Linked DNA regions of Daphnia pulex. The protein of the gene in region 1 purifies or fractionates together with the protein of each later gene. This does not show direct contact. Links are inferred from orthologs where the notes say so. Each region holds a gene or a part of one and is shown on either strand. Other genes may lie near its edges. The genes, in order: dorsal-ventral patterning protein Sog-like and bone morphogenetic protein 2-like.

The links.
Region 2: the proteins of dorsal-ventral patterning protein Sog-like (region 1) and bone morphogenetic protein 2-like purify together in Drosophila melanogaster (affinity purification with western blotting; 4 studies listed by BioGRID). This does not show direct contact. The link is inferred for Daphnia pulex from reciprocal best matches to the Drosophila melanogaster genes sog and dpp.

Annotation. Positions count from the first base shown.
Region 1 is NC_060018.1:10,724,069-10,740,233, reverse strand, and holds the start of dorsal-ventral patterning protein Sog-like, read right to left. Parts: upstream 8,398-16,165; 5' UTR 7,832-8,397; intron 6,956-7,831; 5' UTR 6,514-6,955; coding exon 6,336-6,513; intron 1-6,335. UniProt on the Drosophila melanogaster protein: Putative negative growth factor. Antagonist of dpp, a protein involved in patterning the dorsal region and in the development of the neuroectoderm; dpp inhibition is enhanced by tsg.
Region 2 is NC_060019.1:10,268,355-10,284,613, forward strand, and holds the start of bone morphogenetic protein 2-like, read right to left. Parts: upstream 9,847-16,259; 5' UTR 9,507-9,846; intron 8,904-9,506; 5' UTR 8,345-8,903; intron 3,734-8,344; exon of another isoform or gene 2,958-3,733; intron 1,593-2,957; exon of another isoform or gene 1,123-1,592; intron 1,029-1,122; exon of another isoform or gene 582-1,028; intron 1-581. UniProt on the Drosophila melanogaster protein: Required during oogenesis for eggshell patterning and dorsal/ventral patterning of the embryo.

The DNA.
Region 1 (16,165 bases):
CGGACGACGACGTGACCGGCGCCATGTCTGAAAATGCCTCCGAGATGAAGGTTACGTGTTTGTCTAATATTTCGCCCGTCCGACTGTGTACCCACACACACATAACTAAGCCAGCGAAACTCCAAAGGGGGAAATGGGCAACCAAGGTCCAGCACTAGTATAGCTGGCCTGTCGCTCATTGCAATTTGAGACGGGAAAAATAAAAATAAAAAAAATGAAAAAGAAAAAACGAAGGTCCTTACATTCTGCTGGGCTTCGCTGGCGATATAATAACGAGCTGCCGGGCTCCTCTCCGCGTCCCTCTTCTGTCGAGTTTTGGTTATTAACGACAAAAGGAGAGAAAAGCCCGTCATCGCAATCATTATCGAGTGGATGTGGTCCAGCAGCCAGCCAGCCCAGCTCGACGTACGTTTTCGTATATTATAATAGATTTAATGCGTACGTGAGTGATCATTATAGACGAGTCGCAGATGACACAATAGAGTCCGACAAGATGAGCTCCTAATAATCCCAGCAGTCACACAAGTTGGGGAATATCTATAACGAACGGCCAAAGTTCTTTTGTTCTGTTTAGCTATACGTATATAATCAGCAGCTGGGCCAAAAGACGGGAGAAATATGGACGGAGCAACGAACTTTGCTCCCCGACGACACCTCAATGACACCCACCACCCCCCAGAAACGTATATAAATATATACGATCGTAAATAATTTTCGCGTTCGTTGCTGTGGCCAAGGCCCTCTCTCGTCCAGCATCATGTCATTTCACGACTAAAAATAGTTGTATAAGCCAATCAGCCGGCCCCACATCATATAACAACCTGATCCCCCACCAAACAACATCGCATAGACGCCGAGTTGGCAATGAATAAATAAATAAATTCAAAAATAAATTCAAAAAAGAAGAAAAAAATCAAATGAAATGGAAGAATCGTCTATAACGAAGGCGATCGTATAACTTTTCCATCCGGTATATTCTCTACTCTCTCTGTAAGGTTCGCTTGTTTGGTTGTTTTTTACGACACTCTCCGCTATGGGACCGCGGGACCCTCTACGAACAAAAATATTTTTTTTTCGGGGTCCGTTGAGGATTTTTCTTTTTGTATTTTATGAGTGACATCATGGCAGAACCAAAAGAGGAAACGAGATGGCCCATTGACAAAATCTAAGACAACAACACATAGACCACACACACACGCGCGTCCGTCTTTATAGGGCAATCAAAATTATTATTTTTTATTTTTTGGCGAAAAAATAAAATGGCGTCGCCGGTTCCCCGTTGCGAAGCGTCTGCGACTTTATTTCCCCCCCAAAAAAAATATTTTGTTTTTGAAACCCCGCCCAATTTATTTTCTTTCATAATAAATTTCCCCAACGATAAATGTTAATTCGGTCCATCATTCATTTTTTTTATTTTTATTTTTGGCGCAATGATTAGAACAGTTGGCTGGGCCTTTGAATTTTGCTGGGCTTGTTAGTCCCGTGAGTCCCGTGACAACCAGGTCCTTGGGTCCATAAGTTGGTTCTTATTATCGGGGTCTTATTATTATTATAAAAGATGGAAATTCGGTGATCCACTTGAGAAAAAAAAAGAAAATTTCCCGCCGCTTTGAACTTTTTTGAAAAAGTCGCCAGACGAAATCAATGGGCGGCGCGCAATTCAAACCGTCGTCAAAATTTTCAAAATAATAATAATAAAAAAAAAGAAATATTCAACGAAGAAGAAATCAACTGACGAGAAATTTTGGCGCGCCGTGGGTGTGTATAGTGCGTACGCGTCCAAATGGCCGTAAGGATTTTGATTTTTTTAATATTTGAGAAAAAGGGAAATTTTTTTCTTTTGGGAAATAAAAACGGACATGTTTCTCTTCTCTCATCCATTCTCTGTGCTGCGTTGGTTGCTGGAGCTTTTCCTCTCGAGATTCTTGGCAGCCATCCGAAGATGCCGAATAAGAATGGATGGACTTTCTTCTTCTTTTCTCTGCCCACTTTTCTTATTCAGAAATTTCAGACCCAGCAGCAGAGGACCCAACGGCACGCAGCAGTCGACTGTCGCCTCCCGTCTCTCCCGTCTCTCCCGTCTCTCTCTCTTGGCTATTAACATATTTCCTTAAAGGAACCACTTGACCCTTTTGACAACAACAACAACAACAACAACAACGAAATTCGTGTGAATTTTGGTTTTTTCAAATAAAAAAGAGCGGCAAATTTTCAAAATATTAAAAAAGGGCGGTAGATATTTCTTTAAAAATAATGTTGTGGCTGGCCAGACATAATCAAGTGTCCCATTCATGTATATATACACCCAGGCCGTTGCCGGCGTTGCCCAGTCAATTTTATTTTTTATTTTAAATTTTTATTTTGGAATTCTCTGATGGAATTGATTTATTTCACACTAGACTGGCGCGTTATGAAGTATTTTGCGTGCGCGGATGATTCGCTGTGTGTGCTGTGTGACCCTGCGGGGAAGATGTTGTTGGGTCCGTTTTTCTTTTTATTGGCACGGAGCCAGCCATCATCAGGGCAGCAGCAGCAGCAGAGAACTGCCCAGCAGTTTGTTATTTTGATTTCTTTTGATTGCCACCACCAGGGAGGAAATCAAAAAAATTTCGAATAATAAAAAAATAAAATAATAATTTTTCTGCGTTGTTAATAGCGCGACACACACACAGTGTCCGCGCCCCCTCCTTGCCCGTCTCGCCGTCCGTGTGTGTATGAATTGCGCGTGAAAGATAACGAGAGAGCTCGTCCATTTTCGGGGACGTATCGTCTTTCTCCTGTGCGATGTGGCCCAGCGGGAAAAAAAAAATCGGTGACGTGTCCCAAAACAAAAATCCGTCGATTTTTTCGTAACTTTTTTTTTCTGTATTTTATTTTCTGGCCGTCGTGGATGACCGCCGGCGGCCATCACGAGCCAACTACTATCCTACCATACTCTCCTCTCTCTTCTTCTTCTTCTTCCTCTTCTTCTTCTTCTTCTGTTAACAAACATTCAACTCCGCTCCTTTTCTTCTTCTTCTTCTTCTTCTTCTTCTTCTTCCATTTTTTCGTGCTGTTGTTGTTGTTGTTGTTGTTGGCCGAAACTCTGCGGGTTTCCCCCATCTCTCTACCCCCCCCCTCGAAACTCCTCCCCCATTTGCCATGGCAATCTATCCATCTCTCTGGCCGGCTGCTGGCCCACTTCCTTTTGGCTTCTCCCAATGCCATATTCAATAGGGAAACCAACCAAAAATAAAACTAAAAAATCCACCAACCATTTCTTCGACTCTCCTTCTATTCCGATCGGGAAAAGATTATACAACGACGGCCGGCAGAAGAGATTCACGGTGAGCGATGTGGCGTTAAAAAAAAGGCAAAAAATATTCGGCCCAGCAGCAGCAGCAGCAGCAGCGACGGCGCATATATAACGACCACCAGAAGTTGTAAAAGGCGCCGGGCCAGCAACGCCGCCGCCACCGCCACCGCCGCTGCCGCCGCTGCCGCCAGCGTTTCGAGAGAGAATCAATAAGTTGTTGGCCTTCTCTCTTCTCTTCTCTTCTCTTGTGCTACAGACGGAAAGTGTCTCTCTGTTTTTTCTTTTTTCTGCCCAGTCAATAACAAGTTGATTATAGGAGAAACAAGAGAGAGAAAGAAAGAGATAGTGCCCGGCTGGGATATTCTCAGAAGTGAAACTGACCAGAAGTTTTGATTTTTATATTTTTTCTTACTCGCATGACTTGGCGATTTTTTTTTTTTATTTTTCTGCCCGTCGCATACCAAACGGACGCCCGCGTTCAAGAGTTCAATTCAATTTAAAAGAAAGAAAAAGTAGAAATCCCGGCCAAAACTAAGCTCCCTTCCGTTTCAAATAAATATCGACATTGTCCAGCCGACCGGCGGAAATAAATCGACCGAAATAACAAGGACACATTTATCAGAAGAAGAATAAGAAGAAAACCAAAAAAGACCAAGAAATGAAATTTAAAGGTTTTCCCCAAAAAATCCCCAAATTCCGGTTCTCTCTTTCTCTCTGTGTGTGATCTGAGCGCTGCTCATTTGTTTCAGGAAAAAAATGTTGCCTATATAGGCGGCGGTAGTATATATATCTATCTAATATAATAAACGTGTTTTTCGGGTGACTGGAATGTTTGTTTGTTTGTGTGTTTTTTTCCAACTGGGGGGCTTCTTCTTCCTGCTGGCCCGTCCTTCCGAAAACGGGCAGAGAGAGAAAATAAAAATAAGAAAAAGACAAAGACAGAAGAGAGGAGAACAAGCCGATGATGTTTGATATAAATAGATGACGAGAGATTGCCGGCCAGAAACACACACGTACAGCAGAGCGACTAAACTTTTCCGTTGGGGGGGATCAAGTCGAGTGATGAACGGGCGAACTCTTTGAATGATGACAGGGAAAAGAGCAAAGAAGAATCAAGACAAAAAAAGAAAACTTTTCTTTTAACTTTGATGATTCTATTCTACCCGAAATAATCGAATTGATTTCGTGTTGTGTGTGGCTCTCGTCGACCGATTACATCCGCTCAACTGATTCCTTTCCAATATATAATATCGACTTGTTTTTAGTAATTAATGGGAAAACAGCAGCTCACATCGTTTTGTTTGTTGTATAGATTGACTGGCCGGCTGTATAATAATAAATAACAGCGGTGATTGATTCGTTCAATCAAAAACATATCGGCCTTCTTTCAAGTGAAAGGATTAAAAACAAAAAATAAAAAATAAAATAAAACATCAAATTCGCTGAAATTGTTTCGTAATCTATTCGTGATAATGATTGTCCTTTTCGTGAAATTAAAAAAACACACGTCAAAGTCCCGTCATTAAATGCTCTCCTTTTTTTTTTACTTCTTTACAAACTGGGAAAGACGGACGGACGGGCCAGGGTCCAGGCTTTTTGTTTGTTTGTTTCTGTTTCCTTGAAATCGGGAATCGAAACAAAAAGTTAATTTTTTTATTTTTTTTTTTCATCTTAATAAAATATAAGAAGGACAGACAGTCACGTTTCCTATATCCCGCAATCAAAAAAAGAAGTCAAAAGCAAATAGACAAGAAGGAATACACAAAAAATATGTACCCCGAGTTACACGGATGTTTTTATATGTTTTTTGTTTTTCGGGATTATCTTTTGAAATAAAAAAAAGAATCTCCCAGGCGCTGCCAGGAGCTCCATCCCGGTGGATAGTTTACAGTTGAAATAAAACTCATGTGCCATTCTACGTACACGTACGTATGTACGTATACTATATATTGTGCGCGCACACACACGGGCAACATATAGGACATGACAGGGATGATGATGGGATCGGATGTATATATACAAATACACTCGATGGAGCATTATTAGCGGATGTTGTCTCTACACACAGCACGACGGGCCGGAAAAAAGGATCGAGTTGCTGGAACTCAATTTTGTTTTGGTATTTCTTTTTCCGATCAAAGTTTTGGGGTTTAAAATTATTATTTGATCATTTCTTTTTTAAATCAAAGAAGCAAAGTTGTTGTTGTTTTCTTTTTATGTTGGAGAGAGAGAGAGAGAAATGAAGTTGAGCAAACAACATTTTCAAGTGAGGCAGAAAAACCGGATTCTCTATACTCGTCTGCTCTGCTCTGCTGTGTGTGTGTGTGTGTCTAATGGCTCCAGGGATTTTATATTCTCTCTTCTCTTCTTATATATACTGTTGTTGTTGGGCTGTGCATAGAGTTTGATTGTCTATATTAGACCAGCAGAGCTGCCTTGGAAAAAAATCTTTTACACATTTCGGCGCTCTGAAAGGTTGAAAATAACGATGGCCCTGGCCGTGTGTCTCTAACTAAACCATTTGTAGGGGGGTGATGGAAACGTTCGTGAAAAAATAAACGGCCCAAAAGAAAAAAAAACAAAAGATGAAAGGACAACCCAAAAATTGGTTCCCAGACTCTCTGAGCTGCAATCAATAATCTTTTGTCCGTTCCACACACTCACGCGGACTATACACACTGCTATATCGGCCGGAGCGACAAAGTGCTATATCGGATGCCGAGAGACACACACACAGACCAATACAGTCTTGATTGAATCATACATTTCCCCGATGGAGAAAGAAAGAAGAGACGAAAGGGAAGAATAGCAATCAACGGATCGAGAGATCAAAAAGAAAAGGATAAAAAATCGATTGATCGATTATAAATGAAAGGAGGTGGTTTGGGAGGGTGGTGGTGGTGGTTGGCGGTTGATACGAAGCAGACAGGTGTGTGTGTGTGAGTGAATGAGGAAATGATTGGGATGTGACACACAGACAATAAATAGAATAAAATAACCGGGCGCGGATTTATGATATCAAATTAGATTCGGAACTTACCGGACGTGCGACGATTCTTGTTGGACGACTCCTCCGAAATGATGGGCGGCGGTTTCATTTTACTGTTGCGCTGATGGCCGCCGGATGACGGACCGGCCGCCTGGACGGTCAGCAGTGCCACCAGGACGGCCAGCACGACGGACAGGAACCATTTGCCAGACGGGTAATAACAAGCCATTTTGTTAATAATTTCTTTCTCCTCACCACCCACAACAAAAATTGTCTTTTTCGTTTGTTTTTCAGAAAACAAAATTTGAATTTGGCGCGCAGATAAATCGGTCGGTCCACTTTGCACACTCGAATTTAGCGCACACGTGAAACGCACTTTTTTTTGGAGAAATAATGATAATTTTTACCCGGTTGTCACGCACGCACGAACACGTTGAAAATCTCTTTTTTCGTGTGGACAGAATTCGGGAGAGAGAAAAAAACAAATTGACAATTTCGGGATAGAAAGAAGAAGAAGCGAATTTCAACTGTTTTCAGTCGTCGAGTCGACAGCAGATGACAACGAGCCGTAGAGCAGCACCAGGTCTCTCAGGGCCGCTTCACACCGCATTTCTTTCCGGCCCGTTGATTTTCCCGATTATTTTTCTCTTTTTATTTTTTTCGTGCCGGACCTGAACATTCAAAAAAACAAAAAAGAAGAAGAAAAAAAAAACGTGAAATAATTTGATTTGATTGGTTTTTCGTGCGATTAATAATTAAATAAACAACCTGGATGACACATTTAATTTTAGATCGTCCCACTTTTTTAATATATTATTTCATCTTTAACTTTCACCCCACAAAACGAAAAGGAGAAAAAAACCAAATAAAAATAAAAATAAGAGAAAAATGTTTGAATTCTTTGGGTTGGTTTGTTGTTATACATTTTTTCTTGTCATTTCAAACGGACGAGAGAAAGAGAGATGGCCGTCCCTGGGATCCCGATAAGGACTCGAGGCGCCACCTTACACATGTCTCTCATTTTGATTTGCCCTTTTTTTTATTTTTATTTTTTTCTGAATTCTTTTATTTCGGTTTTTCTGTTGTGTGTGTGTGTTTCACCGAGGAAACACACAAAAATAAAAGAATTGACTCCCGCAGTGCTGTGTGTGTGTGTGTGTATTATATAGTCCTAAGTCTATAAGTATATCGCACGTGAGCCGCATTGGTCATGAGATGAAAATCTTTTCTCTTTTATTTCTTTTCGAATTTTGTATTTTTTCATTTTATTTCAAAAAGAAAAAGAAAAAAAACCCTGCCCCGGGTCCGGGTACAGACTCTGCATATGGTGGCCATGGCCAGCCTTATACACACATGCATCTTCTCTCTTGAAATATATAATATTGTTTCACGTTTGATATCAATTTCCACCTTTGAACGTTATATTACGCCAAACAATTAAATCTGATTCCAAAACCCACCCACCCAAAAGGTGTAGATGGAAAAATCAAAATGAATTGTGTTTCGTATGATAATACCATATGGGCTATTGCGGGGAATGAACTCACCTTTAGTCAGCAGCAGCAGCAGCAGGGCAGGAGAGAAAAAAAAACGAAGAGAGAGAATGAAAAAGAAGAAGAAGAAAAAGAGAATGGAAACTCAATATTTCTCTTTTCTTTCTCTCTCTCTCTTGTATTCCCCGATGCGATTTGATCGAAAAATCCGACTACTATAGCGTGTCGCTGGCGAAAAAATTGTTGGCCGAAATTCACCACGCCGCGATGACGGCCGAGAATCTGTTCGCACTTTTCTCTCTCTTCAATTTATATTTCACTTCTTTTCGCACACAATCAAAATGAAATTCACTTCAAATAATGAAAAAACCGGGGGCGCACTTTTTGAAATTTGTTTGTTGTAATTTTGTTTTGGCGATGGGTGGAATCGTGTGTGGGGTTCTCTCCACCGAATCAAAAGTGGGAGATGGGGGGACGAGAAAAAAGGGTAGGGAGAGAGAGGTAGAGAGAGAGAGAAGAAGAAGAACTTGTAGCGCGTTCGAGAGTTGAATCACGACTGCGCCTCAACTCGGGCGAGCGGCCAGATGTGGTGCTGGGCTTTTTGGGTAGAGCCTTGTGTGTCCCTCCTCTTGACTCTATCCCTCCCTGGCTATAGCTGTGTGTGTGTGTGTATTAAACCCACCTCCTTTTACCTCCTTCTCTCCGCTTGCTGCTGCCGCTGCTGCTGCTGCTGCTGCTCCGGCGTGTTTGGCAACGGGCCCCCGCTTCTATTCTACCACCCATCGGCATTCACAGAGCGAAAAAAGAAGAAAAACTACACACTAGATAGATCAAACTCTGGTGCTGCTGCTGCTGCTGCTGGCCCCGAAATCTTTTCTCTTTGCTGGCCAGTGTGTGTGGTGTGTGTGTGTGTGTGTCTTCTATTGATGGCGCCTATATCAAAAACTGTTTTTTTGGCACACGAAAGACTATCGCCCAGCGTCTCTCTATAGAGAGCGCAAACAGCAGACGCAGCAACAGCCAAACGATCCGGTTTTATTTTTTTATTTTTTTCCTATATGGCATACACACACACACACACACAAGAAAGAAAGAAGAAGAAGAAGAAGCTATTGCTATGCAGCAGTTCGTATGACGTCATTTAGTTTTGAATTTGATTTCTTTCGTCAGGCATTTACGCGCGCGCATTTGAATTAAATTTTTTTGAAAAATCACAATTTCGCGCCCTTTGCATTTTTCAACATTTTAATTAGATCCGGGCGACGTTATTTATTTATTTTTTTAAAGGGGGAAAATATTTATTGATTTCAAGACAAATTAAAAAAAGAAAATACAAAAAATTTATTTTCCGCCAACTGCGCGTTTGGGAGGAGAGACCCCACCCAACTCCTCCTATTCTCCCTTCCAATCAGTTGTCGACATGTTTCTTTTCTAGTGTCTTGTGTGTCTGTGTGTGTGTTGTGTATACCTGAGCGTTACAACCACACCTTCACACCTCTACTTAAAAAAAGAAAAAAGATAAAAAGAGAATAAAAGTTTGAATTTTTTGGTTCGATTCTTCTCAGCTGTGATCACATTATGGATCATATCGTCTCTCCCGGGACGTTATAAGTGCCGGTTGGAAATCGAAAGAAAAGAAAAGAAGAGGACCAACCCCAATAGATCTTGCAGGTGGTCCTTGTGTGTGTGTCTTTCGTGTTGATGATGGGGGGGAGAGATATTTTCTTTCCAGTTAAAAAAGCCGAAAGAAAAAAAAAGAGTCCAGCCTCTTTTGCTCATTTATCCCCTCGACGACTTGTCGACATGAAAAAAAAAAAAATTGTCCAGGTGTGTTTGATGCTGGCCATTGGGCGAAAAATGAAAACAATAGGAATCCGCCAAAGAATTTCCCCAACATTTTTTTTGTTCTTCTTCTTTCAAAAATTAAATCAAAAATCAATTCCTTAGCGAAATGTGTTTGTGTTATTTTTTGGGCCGGCAAACGCTCTATGTATATCAATTGATTATTATACATGTATAGATGGCCCGTATTATTGTCTCATCCATTCCGCCTGGGCGATCCATCAGCAGCAGCAGCGGGGCCCTTTTATCTCTTATTCCCCCCTTATCCCCCAAAAAATACAACCCAATCCAGCTCGCGGGATAGAGCCCGGGATCTACTATTTGGCTGCAGAGCACCAACGATATAATTAAGCACACAGCGAGAGCTGCTCATTAACATGTAATCATCAGGAAACGAGGCGAATTTAAACGCCGAGTGTGTGCGCAGCGCACACAGACACACACACACGTACCAAAAGTCCCGCGCTTATACATACACAGCACAGAGAGAGAAATAACCTAACACAGATAACAACCACGTTAATTAAAAAACCCGAAACTTTTTTTTCGGGGGGGGGGGGGGGATTGTTATATAAATGATTTTCTTTTCTGCCCGTCTCATCACCTTAGACATACTAAACGGATCGATGAACTATGTAACGATCCTCTCCGATGTCTGCACGCGGCCCGTCTATACTCTCTTCCTCGTGTATATATGTAGGGCAAGAGTCCGCCCGTTCGGTTCGTGAGAGAGAGAGAGAAACGGGCGGGCCGAGTCGCAAATAAGGAATCCCGAGTCACTTGACTCCCCGATACTTTGATGTATTGATTGATGCCCGGGCCCCGCTCCTCGCATTTGCCTTCGATGGAATACTATAACAGTTTGAGAGAGAACACAAAACGGACCGGACACACACACAGCAAATTGGCCCGGCTCTAAGTCGATCGTGGGAGACGGAAAATCGCCCTTGGCGTACTTTTTTGTGCAAATGGCGATTTAAAGTTTGAAAATTGGCGGCAAATTGGAATCCAAGAAAATGTCTTTATTTTTTTATTCAAATGCAATCGGCTATGTCTGAGCGCTCTGCTCCCCTTTGAATTTTCATCTCCTTTTTTTTTAGATTTTTAGAGATTCTTCTCTGTGATCCAGCGGCCACGAAATGGGCCAGCGCACTTGCTCTTAAATCACGTTAGATCCCTTTGCCCCTATCCCGCGAAACGTTGGGATTCATTCACTTTGAATTCGTTTCGACTTTTTCTTTTTCTTGAAGAGTTGAAGGAGAGATAGGGCAAACCGACTTGGCGATTCGTTAGCTTTTCCATCCGCCATATCAAAAGGAGTTGAACGAATCAAAAGGGAAGAAGTAGTTGGACAAATTTGATCTTTTTTTTCTTTTTTCCTTTTGATATTCTCTTACAGGATTTGTACAGAGATCTAACCGAGAAAAAGTTGTGTGATGATAAGAAATCGATCCGGAGGAAAAAGAAAAGATCAGAAGAGAATCTCTCTTCTCTTCCATCCATCCGGAATTGAATTTCTTTTTCATTTGCCCAATTCAAAGTTATAACAATCTGATTGAATTACATTCGGTACATAGATACGTTACATACGTGAACTCAATTGCCTGTGTATTGATTCGACTAGACTCTATTTTTTTGGATGGCCGGCAGACGGCCGGCGACGGGCAGACGGGAAATTCCAAAAAAGCTTCATAATTTTATTGTTGTTTACCGATGACCCGAATCTTTTCGATTTTTCCCAAAAATAATCCCTCGTCTACTGCTCGATAAAAACCAAACCAAACGCTATTTATCTTTTTTTTATATAATCCCGTCCGGCGTCCAGCAGTCCCGACGTCCCCCCAAAATAAAAGACGGTTCGATATCAAACAGCACACGTCCCATATAATAAATTTATTATAGATCCCACACTCGTTAGGTTGTTACATGCTGTCGCCCTTATTTTTGGGTGATATCTCACCTTGTTTTGTGGATATATATTTCCATGTTGCGTTGTGTGTCCGTCTCGCCAAGCCAGCCCCCCAAAAAATAAAATGTCCACCCATATCTGCACACACACACATTCAAATTTTTTGATTTGATTTCACGCGTTGGTTTTGGATTTTGCTGCTGGCGGACACGGGCGCGCGCGGGACATATTGGCTGAAACTGCGACACATTTCTCTCTCCCGGCCCGGCGTCGTAGTCGTTTGACAGGCCATGGCAGACGACCGCTCGGCGGTTGACACACACACGGCACCTTGTCGCGCAATCAGTTGACATATTCCCCTCCTCCTCCTCCTCCTTCTACCCCACCTCCTTGTGTGTCGTTTTGTCTTTGGTGTTGGGTATAGTTATAGACGGACTCTCTCTGCCAGAGTCCGCTGTGACTGCTGTGTGTGTGTTACACATTGACACAAGAGATAGACTTGACGACAGCATGCAGCCCAGTCTCAGCCAGAGACGTGTGCCCGTACACATTTTATTAGAGATAGTCCAGCAAACAACCAAACCACCCGACGGGAGGAGGCTGTTATTCTCACACACCCCGCGCCGTTGATATTTTTTTGTATTTTTGAACGGACAACATTTTTTGGCGCCAGTCAGCCCCGACCGGAAGATCTTTTTCATTCAACATAATAAATTGTGTTCCTTTTTATTTTTATTTTCGTGATAAACGACACCCAACCACCCACCTCTGAACACACAACTGCTCCGTTTTAAAAAAGAATAAGAGAAAATTGATCCGTTTTTATGAGGTTGGTTGGTGGGGGGAGGACGGGAGGTGGGTAGCGAAAGATTTGTCTGCATCGTGTCGCCCGTCCGTCCCGTCCGTCCCGCGTCCATCCCGTCCGCGCTGTCCGGCTCTTCTCTATATATTTTATACCAACCCGTGGGCGGCTGGCGCCTGGTTTTAAACAACAGCAGATCGCAGCGGCGCGTCATGTCTGCTGCGATGTGGCCCTGTCGCGTGTCGTCAATTTGGTTTTTCCTTTTCCTTCTTCTTCTTCTTCTTGTATATCGCCACCCATTGTCCAACGCGTTCCCGTGTTGCACAGATCGAGACCGACCGACCGAACGACCGAGCGACCGGCCGGCGGGGAATAGAAGACGAATGGGGTGGGGCCCAGTTTATATCAAACAACAAACTATCCAAAGTCTTTTTTCTTTCTTTTTTTAAATGGTTCTATTAACATTTCGCGAGAGCAGCGACAACCTGGCGCGTCTGTTCAGACACACACACACAAAAAGAGGCGGCCACCATCTAAACGAAACTCGTAAAAAAAAAAACCAAAAAAAAACCAAAATTCACGCGCGAGCAAAATAGGAAATGCTGTGCACAATGTGTTCAATAAATCAAACGAAAGAAAAAAAATCTCCAAAGATTTTAGGAGAAGAAAAAAAAAGTCACGTCGCTCTCGGGTCGATCGTTTTAAAAAAATAAAATATAAAAATGGCGAAAAAAAGTCAATGATTTCTAATTTTACAAAAAAAAATTTGGCGCCAATATTTGAACGAGCGAATCAAATAAATAGGCCGAATATAGTCGACTGGCCATTTTCTATAATTATTTTTTTTCTAGACTGGTATATCATTTGCATATTATTTTTGATTGGTGTCAATGCCGATAGGCTGAGAGAGAACAACAACAACCAAATTCAACTGAGCTGTAAATCTCAACCAAACAACAACCAACATCCAAAAAAAAATCCTTTCTCTCTAAAACAGACAGACGCACACACACACGACCGAGGCGAGGTCACGAGCTTCTATTTAGTTGTTGTATATGTGTATCCCAGCATCTCTTATAATATAGCTGTTGTGTGCGCCCTGCTGCTGCTGCTGTGGTTTTGCCTCTCAGCCAAACTCTTTTCTGATCAACTTCGCTCTATAGCTGCTGCAGTGCTGCTGCTCTGGCTCTGGCTGTTGTTGCTGTTGTTGCTGCGTGTGTGTGTGTGTGTATCATTCCGGCGCCGAAGATCCTGGGCCTCGCCACCAAGGCACGTCATCACTCAAGGTTTTTTTTTTTATTTTAATAATAATAATATTAGTGGAGAGAGAGAGATGCACATACGAAATATTTTTTTTTTTTTTTTTTAGGGCGGGGCCGGACCGGCGACCCCGGCCAAAAAGGTGTCGTAGATTTTTTTTTTTTTGGGGGGGGGGGGAATATTATATAAGAGCAAGGCAGGGCAGCAGCAGCAGCAGCTCAGAGAGATCTGGTATAAGAAAATGAACCGCCGCCCTGTGTGTCTACACACACGAGTGTGCCAGAGTCATTAGCATCGATGGAGATGAGAGCCGAGAGTCTGTTGGCGGGCCACCCCAGCACAGCCACCGCGGCGGCCAACTTGCACACAACACAACGAAATAGCGCGCAGACGAGCCTTATAAGACCGCAGCACCGCAGCGTGGAATATCTAGAAGAAGAAGAAGAGAAACACTACATCTATGCAAATGAATTCATCAATTTATATACACATCTTTTTCTTCTTTCTTTCTTTCTTTCTTCCCATCTGTATATGAAAGTTCCTGGTTCGAAATAAAAAATAGGAAAAAATATTTTTTTCTTATTCTTTTTTTTTTTTTGGCTTCATCGTCTCATTTTCGATTTGGGGGTCGTTTGTTTGCTGGCCAGTCAGTTTATACCTTTCAGTCATAAATCCTAGCAAACGATAGTCGATACTTACGGCGGAGAAGATTATTCCGCGTATAGATATTATAATAGAAGGAGAGCTCTGGCTGTTGTTGTGGCTGTTGTTGTTGTGGCGGGTATCATCTCTCAATCGGTGAGATTCCCTGGCGCCATGGGAAATTTTTGTCTTGTCCCCTCCCCCCCCCCCAAAAATTAGATTTGATTCAATTTTCTTTAAAAAAAAAATTATCTCAAATTTCACGATTGGTAAAAAAAAGGCGCATCAATTTGCATGGGAACAATCAAGGGGAAAGAAAAAAAGGTTCCGGTTCGGATGCGGACCAATGTTGATGATGGCCATTTTGATTTGACCTCCGCTCCGAAATTGTTTTCTTGCGCAGTTATTCGGAGCAGATAAATAGAGACGACGCTCTTGTAAAATAGTTATTGACCTTCTACTACGACGCTTGGAATAATAATAGCCCGTGACATCATCGCCCATCTTCTTCCATTGTCCACTTCATTAAACAGCCCAGCTGTGAGACTCGGATGTGTTCCTAATCGGTCGCTTAGTCAAGGTTTTGTATTTATCCGGGAGAAAAAAAAAGGGCGCGGGAAAAATTTGAATTCAATTGATCGGAAATCAAAAATTTTTTTTTTCTTACGATGTTACATTATTTATAGCCTTGATTATAACAACGAACCGGATCTTGATTATTTGATTGGGAGAGCTGAATTCTCTCATCTCTTCAACGCGGAAAAAGCAAAGTACCGTCGAATTTATTTTTATAAGCGCGCGCGCTGCTTTCTGCGCTAACAAGCTCTTGATTTTATTACATCATATTCAAGGAGGGGATTTACAATATATATTTTGGACCTTGTTTTTCTCAAGATATTTTCTTATTTTTATTTCATTTTATGGGGACTAACAATTTTCGTTTTCATTCTGCTAAGCCTTTCGACTTGTTCCTTTTCACGTCCTGGTCATTTATTTCATTCCATCGGAGAGCAAAAAAATAAATATATCTTTTTTTTTACGATGGCTATACACAATTGAAATGAAAGTTTTTCATCGGGATGATATATTTCATTTTATTTTTATTTTTTTAACTTTAAGTAGTTTAAATCAAGTGAGAAAAAAAATATGGTGTGTAGTGTGACCGGTCACAACAAGACAACAAAAACGGCGGGGGGAAATATTTAATGAGAAAAAGGAAAAAACCAAATAAATATAAGCCGCTGCGCCATTTTTAATAGGTAAAAAATGGCGAATAATAAATATTAAAGAGATATATATCTTTTAAATGGCATCAGGCGCGGTGAGATATATATGTTGTCTATATGTAGATTAATGAGGACACACATCACCGATAGGTTTAATACGTATATACATGGCATATAGAGAGATTTTCAGGTCAAGATAAATTGTGTGTGTCCATCTTAACTGAGATCGACTGATTTTTTTTTGTTTCTTTTATAATTCCCCTGTCGTCGCCCATCGATTGGGCCGTTTCTCTCTCCTTTAGCGGAAACTCTAATGGAGTATAGAGCGTGGACCATCGTAGTATACCACCTCCTCTCCTGTGCGCTGTTTGTGACTGCGTGTCGACCGGAAGGGCCATTCTAATCATGGGCATTCAATTTCCCAGTTGACACCGCAGCAAAAAAATTTCGTCGATTCGACTTGCTGCTGGACAATAGAACAAGTCGAGATGTCAGTTCCAAATTTTTTCTTGCTCCGAGGTGGCCAAAAAATAAAAAAATTGTCCTGGGACAATTCAATGACAAAAGTTAAAAGTATATTTCCATCTCTAAAGGTCTACAACAACACACAGAAGAAAAAAGAACAACAACGGACAATCGAAAAAGGAGAAAGAAGCCGGCCCGGCCCAGCAGAATTGGAAATGAGAACAATAACACACACACACAGA
Region 2 (16,259 bases), on another chromosome or scaffold:
AAAAACAAGAAAAAATAATAAAAGAAGAAAAAAAAATCTCTTGGGTCTCTCTCTCCCATCCTCCCGAGATTCCTCCTCCTCCTCCTTCCAAGATGTGTGCGCCACAGTCCGCGCGTCCGCGTGTCTTGTACATTTTTTATTTTATTTTATTTTCATCCCACCTGGGCCGTGCCCCTCTCTGCCCGAAGCGTGCCAGATGGTTCCAGGTGTTTCTTCTTTCTATCGAGCAACAAGAAGAAGTAAAAGAAGAAGAAGAAAAAAGGAGAAACGACTTTGCTGGGGCCCAGGTGGCTTCCATTACTCGGCAACATGACAGGACCCTCTTCTTCTTCTTCTTCTTGGCCCAGCAGAGATCTTTTATTTTTATTTTTACAAGAAAAGATGTTTTGGTACAAAGAAGAAGAAAAAGCCAAGGACTTTTGCCTTTTTCTTCCTTTTTTTACACTAATAAATATTGAGATGATTATTCGTCCCGCATTTCGGTGGGACCCGCATATTGGACCGGGACCTTGTCCCGTGACGAAAAATGTCACTCCCACCATCGATTTGCGTGTCAATCAAATTTAACGGGCGAAACTTACGCGCTAATGTGACGCAGATTGTCAGTAATCCTGAGAATAAAATACTGCCGACAGCTGTTGAAAGATGAGAGACCCACACACAACCAAATAACGATTATCTGCCACTTTGGGGCTCCTTCCAGGAGAGAAAACAACCACAGAGAAGTTATCGACACACACTCTCACTGTTGGAATAAATAAATATCCTTCTCCTTTTTTTCCGATTAGATAGACAACAGCACGTCCAACGTAGAAGAAGAAGCCAAGTCCTTAATGACTAAAAGCTGTTTCACTCTCCTCACCAGTGGACAAAAAAATGGCACTGGACACTGGACAGGACGATGACCCTGTTCCGTTTCGATCGAGCACAACACTGACGACCAAGTAACCACTCAAGCCCAGCTTATATATGATCTATTTAAGACTTGAGAGAGATGTTATTATCTGCTGTAAGGTAGGACACAATTTTCGGGTGGTGGTGGGGTGGGGGGTGGGCATGGGAGGTGGGCTCACACAGGTGTTAATGAAAAAGGCTTTCTTCTTTTTCTATACTTTTTTTTACCTTTGCTCATTAATCAAGGTTAATCCTGGCCAGGGAAAAATGCGCGCGCTCTTTTTGAACAGGTGGGACCGCCCACTTTATTTCTCTCTCGACTAGTAGAACCGTAGCACCTTTCATTTTTGACAGTTTCTTTTCCCCTCAGAGCCAGAAATGAGTTAACAACGTGTTGAAAAGAAAAATATGAAGAACAGAGAGCTTGTCAACGGTGTTATCTTTTGGACGGTGGACGTGAAACAGTTTGTGTGTGTCCGTTTTCTTCCTATTTATTCCCCGTTGTGTTAGCCATTTTGGGGTGGGGTGGTGGTTGGAGAGATAAGATACACATGTAGTACCTGTAAGCAGAGATCTCATTGCAAGAGGGTGGGGGGAATGATGAAAAAGCGTGGGTATATTATATTACGTCCCACACGTCTTGTTTACGGTCGAAATCCAAACCCAAGGATATTTTTTGGGACTTTGATTATTTCAATTTGCAAATCACCAAATATTTTTGGGGTCGTGTGTGAATAATGACGACCGTTTTCGCACTTTGCCCGTGTGTGTCAGGCCACACCCTAAATTTCTGTTGAATCACAAAACGCCAAAACGGAGATAAGCTCACAAGCCAGATAAGATAATTTCGCCACGCAACTGGTGCACACACAAGTGCCCCCCCCCCCCCCAGAGATGTTTATTTGAAAAATAGGTGCGCGCGAAATTTTCGAAATTTGAAAAAAAGGAAAGAAAATAAAACGACCAAGAAAAATCGATTGGATTGGCTCTCTCGGTTGGTTCTTATATATGCAGAAGAAGAAGAGATGGGCTTGCCAACAAGAAATGGGAAAGCCGCACCTGTAAAGAGAAATAAAACAAGAGTCCGATCTCTCTCTCTCTCTCTAGCTGCTTTTGGGCCGGGTTCCTCTCACACATCACGGCCGCGTATCGTACCACCTCGACCATATTAGTCAAATAGCAGAAAGGAAATCAACATAAAAGAAGCGACTCTCCACCGTCTCTCTCCACCTGTGCCACATCTTTTCAGAGAGAGAGAGAGAGAGAGATAAAAAGGAGGATTATAAGACGAGAAAAATATAAAACTCTGGCGTGATTTTTTTTAACCTTTAAATAAATAAGAAAAGAATTTTTTAAAAATGTTTTTTTGACCGCAAAAATTTCAAGCGAATAAATGGCGCCCAATTCAAAATCCTTCTTTTGAAAATGTTTCAGTTCATAGTTCAGTTTTTCTATTTTTAATTTAAAAAAAAACAAGAAATGACGCTGCAAATAAAAAGTGTTGGATCAAAGATCTTTTGGCCTCCAGCCCGGATCATATCTATACTACGTACACTATATAACACCACCACCAATAATGATCATAAATGGCCTTGTGCAAAGGCCAAAAGGAGAGAGAGGTTGTCTCTATTCCTCTTTCATAGCTCCGACAAAAAAGTTTTTAAAAAAATATTTAGGAAGAAATAAAACACGGACAACCAACCGAAAAAAAAACAAACAAAAATGTCAAAGACAAGAAGAAAAAAAAAGTTTTTTTAGTGAGCGGAGTCAGTCAGTCTGTGATCCTTTCAGGTGGGCCGGCGACAGTATACACACGGCCCCGCTCGCCATATATACCAGAGTCACAGGTGAAATTGGTTCATATCGCAGACTGTCCACTACCAAAAAATGTTGTCGTCGTCTTTTATTTTTCTCCCCTTTTTTCAGACCTTTTCCCCTTTGTCTGCCCATGTCTATCCCTTCCGACTAAAACTCGATTGAAAAATTTGGGTTTCAATCCTTGGAGGAGCCACACAGCGCCAACACTAAAAAATAAAGCAATTTGGGTTTAAGATTGTTTTTACCTTGGTCATATTCCGTCGTCTAGCATGTTTTTTGTCCACGACTGGCCCCCACCCCTTTTTGTTTGTTATTTCGCTTAATTTTGGGTAATTTCTTTCTTTAGTTGGCGATCACTTTATTGGGTGGTGGAGAAATTTCCTCGGACTCAAAATTGAACCAAAACACTTTTTTTTTTAATTTTCTTCTTTGATGGTTGAATATATTGTCCAGTTATTTTGTAAAAAAATTCACAATTCACTCGTAGAAATTTTCGGGGCCGGCGGTGTTCAAATCAAATCAAACGAAAATAAAGAACTTTCACAGAATCACGAATCCGTCCGTCGCCAAATTCAAAACTCGGAAACTTCGGTTTCACCTCGACACACGTAAAAAAACACACGGGAGAAAATAAGAAGAAGTTAAAAACACTTTCGGGACGACCAGAGAAATTATTTTCGACCTCCCCTCAAAAAAAATAATCAAACAGAAAACCAAGTGGGTCGCACAAATCGATGAAAAATTGACAATCGAATAAAACCGTCAAAGTTTCGACAAAATTTCTTGGTTGTTTGGTTTCTCTTGGCGTTCAAAAACTTTGTGAAAAAAAAAATTCAGAGTCGAGTTAAAACGGAAAAAAAAATTGCGTGGATTATGTAGCACACACCTGCGCCGTACCTGAAGGGAGAGCGGCAACTGAAAATGTTGGAGACCGGCAAGAGTGGTTTAAAACGGACTTTTCTTTGGGGGTTCTTCTTCTTCTTTATTTTCTTTATATTTTTTCCGTTTTGGGTTTGTGTGTGTGTGTGTTGGTTGGGGGCTTCTATCTCTCTCTCCTCACTCCTCCTACCTTTTGGGTTTGTCTTTTCTCCTCCCACCTCCCACCTCCCAACCCACCACCTCCTGCTTCGTATCAGGTGGAACTAAAGGTAAGAAAAAGGGAGGGGAAACCACTCGGAAAAGATGTGCCAGAGGGGGGGGAACACACGACAGAGGAGGAGGACGGAAGGGGGAGGCCCACGGGGCATAGACCATCGCACCCAACTTCTTCTTCTTCTTCTTCCAACAAACTTTTTCTTCTTCTTCTTCCAACAGGTAAAACAAAACCAAAAAATTAAGAATAAAAAATTAAGACAAATCAAGAGTACCATGGCCCTACCGTCTAAATAATATTCACGGTCGAGCGCTATCTATACGCATAGGTCAAAAGAGAATAAATAAAAATCGATTTTTCACCTGCTGTTGACAAAATAAGAGACTAGGTGCGTAAAAAGAAACTCGGCAATAATATCCAGCGGGTGGGACCCCCCTCACCTATATGGGGAGGGGGGGGGGGGATACCTTTTATTCTTTAAAAATTTTTTCCCGTATACTACGCGGATATGTACATGCATGTGTGAATTGAAACAAGGTCTTTTTTCTTTTTCTTTTTTAATTCTTTCTGTTCTAATTCCTTCATTCTTCCCCTCTTCTTCAACCAGGAGAGAGTGAACACACACCACCTGGAGAAGACCCCCAAGAGTTGTCAGAAGAGGATACACACACACACGTACATTTACTGTAAATAGGAAAAAAGAAGAAGAAGAAGATGGGGGCCCACAGGTGTGCTGGCTGGAGACCCCAAGAAACTCTTAGCGTGGCCCTTTTTTTTTCCTGGGAGTGTGTGTTGCGCCCAGGGTTTTTTCTCTGGTAGACAGCATGCCGCCAGCCCAGTGGGGGGCCAAGGACGGCCTTCTTCTTCCAACTTATTCTTCTTCTTCTTGGCCGTAGATACTGTGAAATGTCCGCCATCATCAATTCACGTTTACCCAACAAAGTCGTGTCTCTTTTTTTTTTCTCTTTTTTTCATTTTCATTTTATGTTTATTTCGTGTGTGTGTGTGTATAATATCTTGTCGATATCATTACGCATGAATTATTCATCGGCGCGTGTTCAGCGCGCGTGCCCCCGGCTCTCCCCCCCCCCTTCTTATTGCACATGTATATATCCAGCGGATGATACCGAGCTATATATATAAGTTACTTATATAGTAAGAGAGAGAATGGAAAAAAAGGTTTTGGTAGAAAAGATCTTTTCTTTTCTTTTCTTTTTGAGGCTATTTGGCAGTGAAGGATATTGTCGGATGGGCATTATGCGGACGACCGCTGTACAGGTGGATCGGACGCACAGGTGTTCCAAACTTCGCATTCACACACACACACAAAAGGAGAAAAAAAGAAAAAAAGGGAGATGTGAAATTCGATCCATCCATCCACCGGACGATTTTTTCCGTTGTGAAAAAAAAGAAGAAAATTTAATTCGTTCGGTTTTATTCAATTGAAACGAAGAAAAATCGATAAAAATGAATAAAAGAAATTTGGATAGACATATATAAAATCGTTCCAGCTTTCGATTGTTTTGTTTTTTTTTGTTGTTGGCCAGTTTATCTACCTGGTACGACAAGAAGCAACGAGGGCCAGCCAAAATAAAATAAAATAGAAATAAAAATAGTCGGGAGGCTTTCACCCGATTTCTGTTGTGGGCCCCGGCGATCGTGATTAACGCCAACTGATAACCAAACAGCCATTTGTTTAGTTCTACCTCCAGTTCTCCCCCCCTTTTCTCTCATTGACAAACCGGATTTCATTTGGGAAGGATAAACAAACAAAAAAACAATTTGAATTCAAAATAACAAATGGAAATTTAAAAAAAGAGATGGATGGACTTTTTTTTCTTATCACCTAGGCTCAATTCGGTTTGGGACCGACACGGGCTCTTGTATATTTTGTCTTGATAAATAATTATACCAAAAATCTGATCAAACGGGTATTTTGGCGAATTGGACGGGAGCGCGCGGAAGACTTTTGAAATCATCCGCGCGGAATGGCCAAGTAGCAACTACTATTTGTTAGTAGAGTGGAGGGAGTTGGCGGTGGCATTTGATATGGAAATTGTGATACGATCCGGTATTTATTTAAAAAAAAACCCAAACAAACTTTGATGATGTTCCATGTCCAAATCCAGAAAACGCCAATTGTTTTTATTTATTTCCCCGCAGAATAAATGAATTCCGTTGGTGAATTTCAATGAACATTTTCTTTTATTTTCACGTTTACCTTTTGCCAGGTTAAATTTAAAAAAAAAAAAAGAATTTCCCCCGTTCACGGATGGAAACAAGGTGCGACCGAAAGTTCCCAACAACAACAACGAAACAACATTTTAATCTCAACAAATTTATATTTTTCCTTTTTGAAATAAACCGTGAAAGAAACACCTGTGCGCTCCAAAGTTTATATATTTTTCTTCTTCTTCTTTCCTGCTGCACAGCCACTCCATATTTTGGTTCGACAGGGCCCAACCCCGGTCTCACCTGTTACGACGTAATAAGACTCCCCACCTCCCCAAAAACTTATTATACTGCGCGTTCGTTCGTTCGTTCGTTTTCTTTTATATTTCTTTTCCCATTACCCGGCAGGTATATATATTTTTTTCTTTTTTAATTCTCCCAGCTGATCTTTTGACTTCATTCATTCATGAACAGAGTCAACCTCCAAAAAGAAAAGAAGAAAAAAGGTACAAACAACAAACAAACAAGAGACGGGCCCCTCCCTGATGTTTCATTGTTCTTTTCCACATTCCTTATTTAATTTTTCATTTGATATTCGCGATTAAAACCAAACAAAAAGACGTTTCGTAACGGCAATCAGTTAATTATCAACAACAACAAGCGAGTTGAAGGTCCCCCCTCGGGCGCTACATACGGATGATGATGCAACCACCCGAAAAAAAAAATGTTGAAATCTCTTGAGGAGTTATTTGATGTAATAATAATTTAATGTAATCATCGTCGGTAGAGGAGGACTATTATATGCAAATGATGTCAAGCTGTTGAGAGATTGTGTGTGTACACAGGTGTTGAGCTCTCTCTTCTTCTTCTTCTTTTTCTTTTGGGGATAAACATTGGAATTCTTCCCATTTGTGATCTCGCCAATTAGATAAGCGTTGGTGTTTTTCTTCTTCTTCTTCTTTCCAGGAATCCCTGGCCAGTAGTTAACAGCAGGTGGTGCGCATTTCCAGTCAAAAGGTGCGAATGGATAAAAGAGGGGCTTGGCCCATCAACACCATTCCAACACCACATTTTTGCATATTATCCACAAAGCTGGACGTCGTCTATCCGTCGTTGTATAGGTCATGGATGGAAAATAAAACAATTGCGCAAAATGGGAGCGGTGGGGGGGGGAAATTTCAAAAAAAACTTTCAAATCAGTTGGACGAGAAAACACCTAGCTCTCAAGTTGCCCGGCAACTGGGCAAGATGATGCGTCACTGTTTGAATAAGAGAGAGAAAAAGGGGGCCAGCAGCAAAGCTGGAGATGGAATGCGTCCTGTGTGTGAACGATCGTCCTCCCGAATAAAAATTTCGCTGACTAGTTGGATAGGAATTTGTTTTCCACCTGTCGGCCGGTTCATTACAGACAACAAAATGGCCACTCTGGGGGCCAGCAACAAGTTGGCACCAGAACCTTATTCTCTCCTATCTCTGCTCGCAAGTTATTGAAGTTGTTTATATGTCGTAACCCAGGTGTGTGCGCATACAAAACGGCTACAATCTTATAAGAAGAGATAAGTTCCACAGCGAATAAAAAAGTTAAAAATCTCTTTTTTTTTCTTTCTCGCTGTTGGCCTCAATGTCGCCGGTCACATATTATTCGTTGGAATATATATGTAGAGACAAATATTTATTAGATGCAGTTTGATTGTGTCCCTTTTCTGGTCCCTCGCATTCGTTTTTTGTTTGCCTTTCTCTCCTCTCTTACGTGTTTTTTTTTTTCTCTTTTTTTAAAAACACCCGCGAGATCTAAACACAAGATGAACGACGTTGGCACGAGAACTTGAAAAGTTCTTTTTTCAGATTTCCAAATTCCCCAGATCGAAAAAAGAAAACGGGACAGGAATTATTATTCGATACGCCGGGGATTTTAAAAAATTTTGGATTTTTAAAAATATTTTGATTAATTAGCGTAATCGTGGCCACCGGTTTCCATCACATATCGACTGGGGGTATTTGTGCTTTTATTATTATTGTCCCCGTTTTGTATTTCTCATTCTGGTCCCTTTTTTCCATCTTCTTCTTCTTCTTCTTCCAGGAAAAAAGAAAAGCACTCAGCATCCCCTTCCCCCTTAACTTTCTTGGGTTTCCTCATTTGGAGGGTGGAAAAAGGTTTTTATCTTTCTTTTTGTTTTTCCAATTTAAAAGTTTTACCCTCCAGTAAAAAAAAAGTTAAAATTTAAAAAAATAAATCTTCCCCGAAAAATCGATTTTTAGTAAATATGTTTGAAAAATTATCCAGTGAAATTCCACCGAGTTCAAATTTTTCTACAAAATTTTTGCGGGAATTTTGAAAAAATAGACGAAAAAATTTTTGTTAAAAACCTGGAACTGTTGAGTCGATGACGATTGGATGTGTCCAGTCGATGGATGGACGGGCGGGAGAGGAGGATGAAGTTGGCAGTGGGCGAGTGCGTTGCTGATACAACCGCGGGAGATCCGTGTCATCCTGGCCTTTTAGCAGTTTAGCACAGCGGTGGTGGCGATCCTCCCTGACTGGCAATCACGCAGTGCCCGATCTTCATAGCACACACACACACACACGACACCAAAACGCAATGATGGGCACAACAACACACCTGGCACTATCAACAGCACGATGGATCAAACTGATGGATTGGAAAACGGCCGCCGTTGTCCAAACGTGGCGTGTGTTATATATATATATTCAACTGGACGCAACTTTCACTTCTTCACTCACGACACACAACTGACGATGGCGTAACACTGAACGCAATAGCCAATAACTAACAGGGTTTCAAAATGGCGACGAAATTGGCGGGCATTTTATAACCGACGATTTTTTAAAAACAAAATAAATCACGAACACACACACTCTCGGGCTGGGAGACGCACGTGGAATGGATTGTCCAACCGGGAATCCCTGGAGGGAGAAAAAAGAAACAGAATTAAATATCGATTTAAAAATAAAATAAAAAGGAGGAAACGATTGGGTGGAAAAATAAAAAGAAGAAGGTCGATATTCTTTTTTAACCTTCGTCTACTTTTTATTTTTATATTCCTTTTTTTGTTTCGGAAGGTAAAAACAAAAGAAGAAGAAGAAGAAAAACCAGGTGGAAAACTTAAGACAAAAAGAAGAAGAAGAAGAAGTAGGGGGTGGATTGAAAAAGAGAGGGGGGGGGAAGGGCAGAAAAATGGAGGGGGAAAAGTTTTTATTCCGTTTGGAACTTGGAAGGTTTTTGGGTTGGGTTTTTCAGGAGGGAGGGTCATCTCTTTTGTCGTCTCAAAATGTCTGAAATTTCATTCCCCCCAAAAAAGAAAAATTGATTTTCGATAGTTTTTAATGAAATTACAAAATGTTGATCAATCTTATTGCACAGTCTATTGTTTGTTTTAATTGAAGTGGGGGTCCATTCCACCTGGGACTGGAAAGGTGTCAAAAAAGTAACAGACGGGAAAAGTTGCACATGAAGAAAACACAGGTGTTGTGTGAGGTAGGGTGGGGGGGATCTAATGAGTCTAACACCTTTTTGCTGGAAATGGCGGATGCACAGGTGCACAACTTTGTTGGTGTTTTGGTTCTTGGCACCGAGAAGAAGAAATTCCGTTTGATGAGGCGAAACAGAAATTCGATCAAAAGAAACAAACAAGGAAAAATTGAGGGGGGAAAAATGCCACCGACCAACCGCACTGGTCACATCACACGAAGGACTGAGAGCCCAGGAGTAGAAAGAGACGCTTCCACTGGGCAGCCAGCAGACGAAAAATAAAAATCCCCTGGAAATGCATCCCAATGTTTGTATATATATATATATATCTATCGGCTATATCTTTTCTTCCAAACTAAATACCATTTTCTTTCTCTCTGTGTACACGAAGGTAGAGGGCGATCTAAACACACACACAGGGACAACATTGCCAGCAGCACTTTGGAGGAGGGGGAAAAAGGTAAAACAAGATGGTCACCCCATCAAGAAAAACCCCCAAAAAAGGTTTTTTTTTTTTTTTTCTTTTTAAAAAACATACATCTATTTAGAGTGGCTTTTAAGCTTCTTCTCTTTTTAGTTTTTTACCCCTCGAACATTCCCTGGGCATATCGGAAAAAAGTATCGTCCAGTGACTATCGATTCTTATTTTTGGAGACGAACGACAACGTATACCGGGAAAGAGAATGGGGCAATTAAAAGGTAAAAACAGACCCTCTCTTTTTTTGTGACTGGGGTCGGGTGGCGACAGGAGCCCCAACGGTTATATATACACATGGTGGAATAGAGAGATGAGAGATGACAAGGAGCCGAAGGAGAACAAAAGTCGTCCAAGGTTTCCGCAGGATGAATCTGAAGGAGCAAAAGAAAGAAGAGGAGGCCATATAATAAATATAAGGCTCCCCTTCCATACAAGGAGAAATCTAATAAAGAAAATGACAACTCGAAAAAGGTCACTATACTTGTCAGCGCCATGCCAAATTTCAATGTCCAACACAATTTTTTATTTCAAAGGTATATTTTTTGTTTTCAGCGTGAATTTGAAACCCGGAAATTAAAATTGAAGCGGGAAATTCAAAATGATGAGCTTTTGAAAAATGTATAAGACACCGACCAATGATCAAAGGGCATATCAAATTGCTCAACTGTACAAGCTCACCCTTGTTTATCGAATGATTTGCGACCAGCGGCGCAGTGTGTACACGTGTAATCAATATTGGCTTACACACAACTCGTGTTTGTTGTTGTTGTGTGTTTTCGTCTGTTAAGAAAAAGTGGGTTGCCTTGATTTTTTCAGATTCGTTTTATTCTGTGTGTGTCCTCCTCTCAATTTTCTTTTGCCTCAATCTTTGTAATCACGTCGGCGTTCGTGATTGCATAGCCTTGTGCGTCCAATCCCGCGCGCTTCTACATAGCCCTATGGTATTAGAAGCGTAACAACAACAACAACAACCGAGAAAATTTCTATTTGGAGGCTATTGGATTTTTGTTTTTTCGTCCACAGGTGTGCAGCTTATTCTCTCTCTATTGCGGCTTTTCCTCCCCCTTCTGTATACGAGTTCGGTTGGCGAGTGGGTTGGAAGAAGGAGTCATCCTCCGCCATAACCCGCGCACTTTGCTCTGTAATTAAGACGGAAAAGAAAAAGAAAAACCCGGCAGAAATGTTTTTTTCGACCGCTCTTTTCCCCCCCCCCCATCCTCTCAATACACACACACATAGATATAAATTACATATAGAGTTAAAATAGGGGAGGATCTACCTCTCTAGTACTGGTCGAACAAAAACGAAGAAACGAAAATGTTATCTCTACCAAAAGAAGAATTTAGACAAGAAAAAAAAGATTCAACTGGGCGGATCCGAATTTTATGTACGAACTTAATATTCCCTTTAATTTTTATTTTTTCAGGAAAAAACCAGAAAAAAAGGTTTGGTTATTTTCTTCTTTGGCCAGCAACAAGAAGACGAAGCGGAACATTTAAACGATTCCGATTGGGAAAAATAAACAATATATATTTTTTTTTTATTAATATATGCGCAGTTATTAGGTAAGCGCCTCAGAGAGAAGGTGTGTCGGATCTCTATTGCCTTGGAAGAAAACATGCCGACAAAATGCGATGAGATATCGTATGGTAAATAGTTTCGGAAAGAGAAAAATAAGCCGCGCGCGAAACATTTTGAAAAATTGATGGCCAAAGAATTTCGTCATTTTCTTTTTAAAAAAGAAGAAAGTTTTCTTCTTTTTTTTGTTGTTTTTTTTTTAAAAGCTGCTGGGTAGGTTTATACAAAGGTGCAGCCGGAGCACAGGTGTGTGTGTCCATTCATCTCCATCCGGCGAAACTGTTGGGAGAATCAATTCGCCATGGGACGTCCAGCAGTGTGGAAGAAAGTCAATCAAAAACGTATAGATATCTGAGGAAAAAATTGAAAAATTGAATGACAATTCACTGGAGAGAAAGGTGTCGGATGGAAAACACAACACGGACAAAGGTGAGAGCGACTATATGGACGGTTGTATATAGGAAGAAGAAAATACGAAGAATATGTGAAAAAAGAAGAAGAAGAATAGACGAGACTGGAGAATCAGGCGCAGCAGACTGCGTGGCGGCTGTTGTTCCGTTTTTTCTCTCTTCGACACCCCAGGGGAGTTTTTACCTTGGCCAGCAAAACCACAAGGAGAGAGAAGCACCGGGGCTGCTGCTGCTGCCATCATCATCATCGCTACATATAAGAATTTAGGTCTTTTTTTTTTTTAATAATAATAAAAAAGGGGGCACAAGAAAAGCGGATCCATTTTTGAAAGACTTTTATTTTTCCGTGTGTTGTCCACCTGTGCAGCAGCAGCACCGCGAGTTCAACATTTTCTCTTTGACAGGAGCCAGTCACTTTCCTCGACAGAGTTTTAATTGACGTGGGGTCGGGCCTATACTGCTGTCTAAATTTATTTTGTATCTCAACAATCAAGTGCTAATACATTTGGCCACCGCGCAGAAAAGATTTCGCAGAAAAGCGATTCACACCGAAATCGCAGAGATTAGACATGCCGTGTTACATGTGGCTTTAGACACCTGATCATTTTTATTTTTCCAAAAAAAGGAGGCCATTTCTTTCTTGGGAAAAACGTCCACACCCACACTTATATAGTAAGTAGTAATAGTGGGAAAATGTCACACTCGAGTAGTACAATCGTTTTCTTGTTCTGCTGGACAACCCCCCTGGTGGGCCAGTGTATAGGCCATCACTCTCTCTCTTTCTGCTGAGAATAGAAGAGAAAGAGTTGATTATACTGACCGTTTAGGCCTCTGCTGTAGGACCACCTTCATCTATCAAGTCGCTAGAAGAAGAAAAAGAGAAAATGTCTTTTTCTTATTTTTCCAACAACCAGCCCCCACATCTCAATATTATCTTTCAACACCGGCCCGCCTTCTTTTTTCCATACTTCGCTCACCTGCTGCTGTCTAATACTCAATACAAGTCGAGTGTGTGTCAAGTTTTTCACTTGAGTTTGAAAAGAAAATACGAAGAACCGATTATACCACTTTCTATGCACCGCGAATGATTTCAATCAAATGGAATCAAATCAGAATCTTCTTTGAAATAATTATCCAAGTTTACTCCCCAAATCATTTTGCGGAGAATTACAATGGCAGTCATTATTAGAATTACAATATAATGAATAGAAATCGTGGACACAATCTCAAATGTGTGCGCACATTTCCAAAGAGAAATAACAAAAACAATTGTGGAATGGCATTTGCTGGAACGAGAAAAACGAGATGACGGCGAACTCAGAAACCTCATCGTCGTGTGCTGTGTACAGACAAACTCTCTTGCGTCACCCCCCTTGTTTTTATTGTAAACCAGCTGGCCGTCGAGAGCGATACAATCAATGTCGCATTTTCTAGCGTACACAAAAACCTTGACTGGCTGAGCTAAGCTAACCTTAACGAGCTCATAATAACAATCACAATAATAATATCTGTTATAGACATTTAAGAAGACGAATGGACGTGCACACCTGTGGGCGCGCGCGTATATATATTTTCGTTTCGCCACTTTTATTTACAGTTTCTAACTACACAATAAAACCTGTTCTTCTTTTATATCTACACTCGGTAAAAACTTAGTTTTGTGGAAAAAAAAAGAGACGACCACTCAGTTCCCAATGACCGGCCCTTTTTCTTATCGATATTATACCCACTGGGAGGACAGATAGCAGGACACTCAATAGCGTGCAGAGTTACAATAATACTACGCACTTTTTAAACACAAAAAGCTTGTTAGTTGAAACTTCTTTTTTATCCCCTATCCAATATAATGTAAGAGAAAAGAAAAGTTGCACGCAAAGTGCACGTCATTTAACAAATTTTCCAGCTGGCCATTCATTTGACAGCCTGGCGTACAATGGCAAAGTGCAGAACTGTCACATAATTATTTTAGCCTAGGTGACACACGTACGCGTCATGATGATTAACATCACAGGACATTTTTTAATTTATTTTTTTCCACAACTTTTTCTGGGAAATCATCAAATTTGTAAAGAAATTTTTCCGTTTTTTATTAGAAAAGATAATAAAACATCTCGTCCATCGGGGTCAGAAAAATCAGGTTTGGGAATTTTGTCTTCTGCGGTCGAGAAATTTAGAATTTTCTTCGGAGAATAACACACACACTCGCATGTGTGTGTGTGTGGGTAATATCAATTTGAATTTGGGGGGATTTCGAGGCCTGTTAACAATAACAGGATCCATTAACATTCAAGGGAAGAAACAAAAACAAAAAAAACGAGATATCGAAGCGCTTTTCTTTCCGAGGGGGGAAATTCAAAAACTTTTGTCGATTGTTTCATGTCGCGTCATGCTGGTCAAAAATGGGGGGGTCGAACTTTTGTATAGCGTCTCCTTATTTTGTTTTCTATTTTCCTTTTTAATAATAATAACGTAATCAACAATATTATTTATTACCAGGGCGCGGTATTTTGATTTTTTAACAGGTCAGGGTCCATTTTCCATTATTAGTTGGCAGCGCAGCGACAGGTGGCGTGCACATCATAACCGCTCCTTTTCAGCGCTCTCTCTCTCTCTGGCCGTGTGTGTGGCCGGCTAAACTAACCATCTGAATTCCCAATCTATAAAAAATGAAAATAAAAATACACGTACAAGAAGAAAGAGATAAACTGCATTTCAGAATGATTTGAATAATGAAAGCCGCGCGCGCGCGCGCGCGAGAATTCGAAAGGGATATATAAACGCGGCCGCTCCTCTCTTTTCTTTTGCCTTTTTTTTCTGGCAGTCATAACATCATCCATCAAAAGACATTTTCGTTTATTCAAGCGCACCACACACACAACACACAACACAACACAGAGCCGAAAAGAAGAAGAGCTGTATAATCATCTAACTGGCAAGAAAAGAAACCAAAAGAAAAGAGATTCACCGCCACCATTGGCGGTCTCTCTCTGGCCCACCTGTCCGAAGGGGGTCTCTCTTTCTCTCTTTTATATACTGTGCACACAGAGAAAGAAAGAAACTTGTGTGTTCACCATTTCTAGAGAGATTCTTTGACGATTATTTGTGTTTATTCTGATGATATTCTTCTTCTTTGCGTCGTCGTCGTCGTCATTGGCCGACAACCGAACAAAAGGTCAGATTGGAAGCGAAGGCTGACGGCGAGCAATTACCGGTAGTAAATCTATTGCTGCTGCAGTCGAGTTCGTTTCACATTGCCGTGAGTGAGCGTATAGTATAGTAACGAGGGGCCCTCTTATTATATCATATTCTGCTGTGTGTATAGTGGAGAGACAAACGAACAAAACAAGCCCTCCACTGATTAGGCCAATTAGACTTCTCTTGTTAGCTAGCTGCTCTCTCGACTACTACAGCACATAAGACATTACAGAATGTCTTTTTCTTCTTCTTTCTCGGCTTCCACCTTTTGTGTGTGTGTGTGTGTCGATTGTTGTTGACTCGAGTGAGAAAAAACTCATCGGATGGCCAGAAAAGAAAAGGCCAAATAGGAGAGGGGGGGAGAAAAAGGAAATAAAGAAACACGTAAAACGTGTAGACACATAGAAGAGATAGAAGAGAAAAAAGCGGCCGGAGACATAATAGACACCAAACCGAAAAATGACGGAAAATTGACACCGGATGGGTAATTATGAAATCGAGAAAAAGCTGGTGGAAAAGAAAAAGAAAAAAGACAAAAGGTGGTGGCATGATATAATCACAGGGCTCGGTTCTTTTTGTTATCTGTGAGCTGGCCATTTTTTGTTTTTTGTTTTACCTTATTTTCCACCTGGTCGTCTTTGGCTGGAAACCTATACTATATGTACACATCCCCCGCATTCTCTAATATGTAAACCCCCTGTGTATTATAGACCTGTGGAAAACTGTACAACTTCCCCCCGTGTCTGTATGCATTTCAATTCCAGCAGTATAGTGGACTGCTGGCTCTATATACTCTCGGTTGGCATGCGACCTTCCCATAAAGGCTCTCGCTTAATGATTTTATAAGTGAGACTCTCTTCAGCTCATCTGCTGCTGGGTCTCACCAAAAGTCTCTTGATATCTAATAGGGGGCTTATGATACGTAACCTTGATGGCATTATTTCGAATCAAATTTAAGTTGAATTGTATTTTTTGGGGGACTATTAGAAAACTCGTTGGGGACAATCCCACGAACCAAAATAAAAAAGAATTTTATTTTAAAAATAATAAAAAAAAGACAATTGAGCGATTAGTGACGGAGTTGAATAAAAACCAGGTGGATGCCAAATTCGACGAATTTTCCGGCCTGG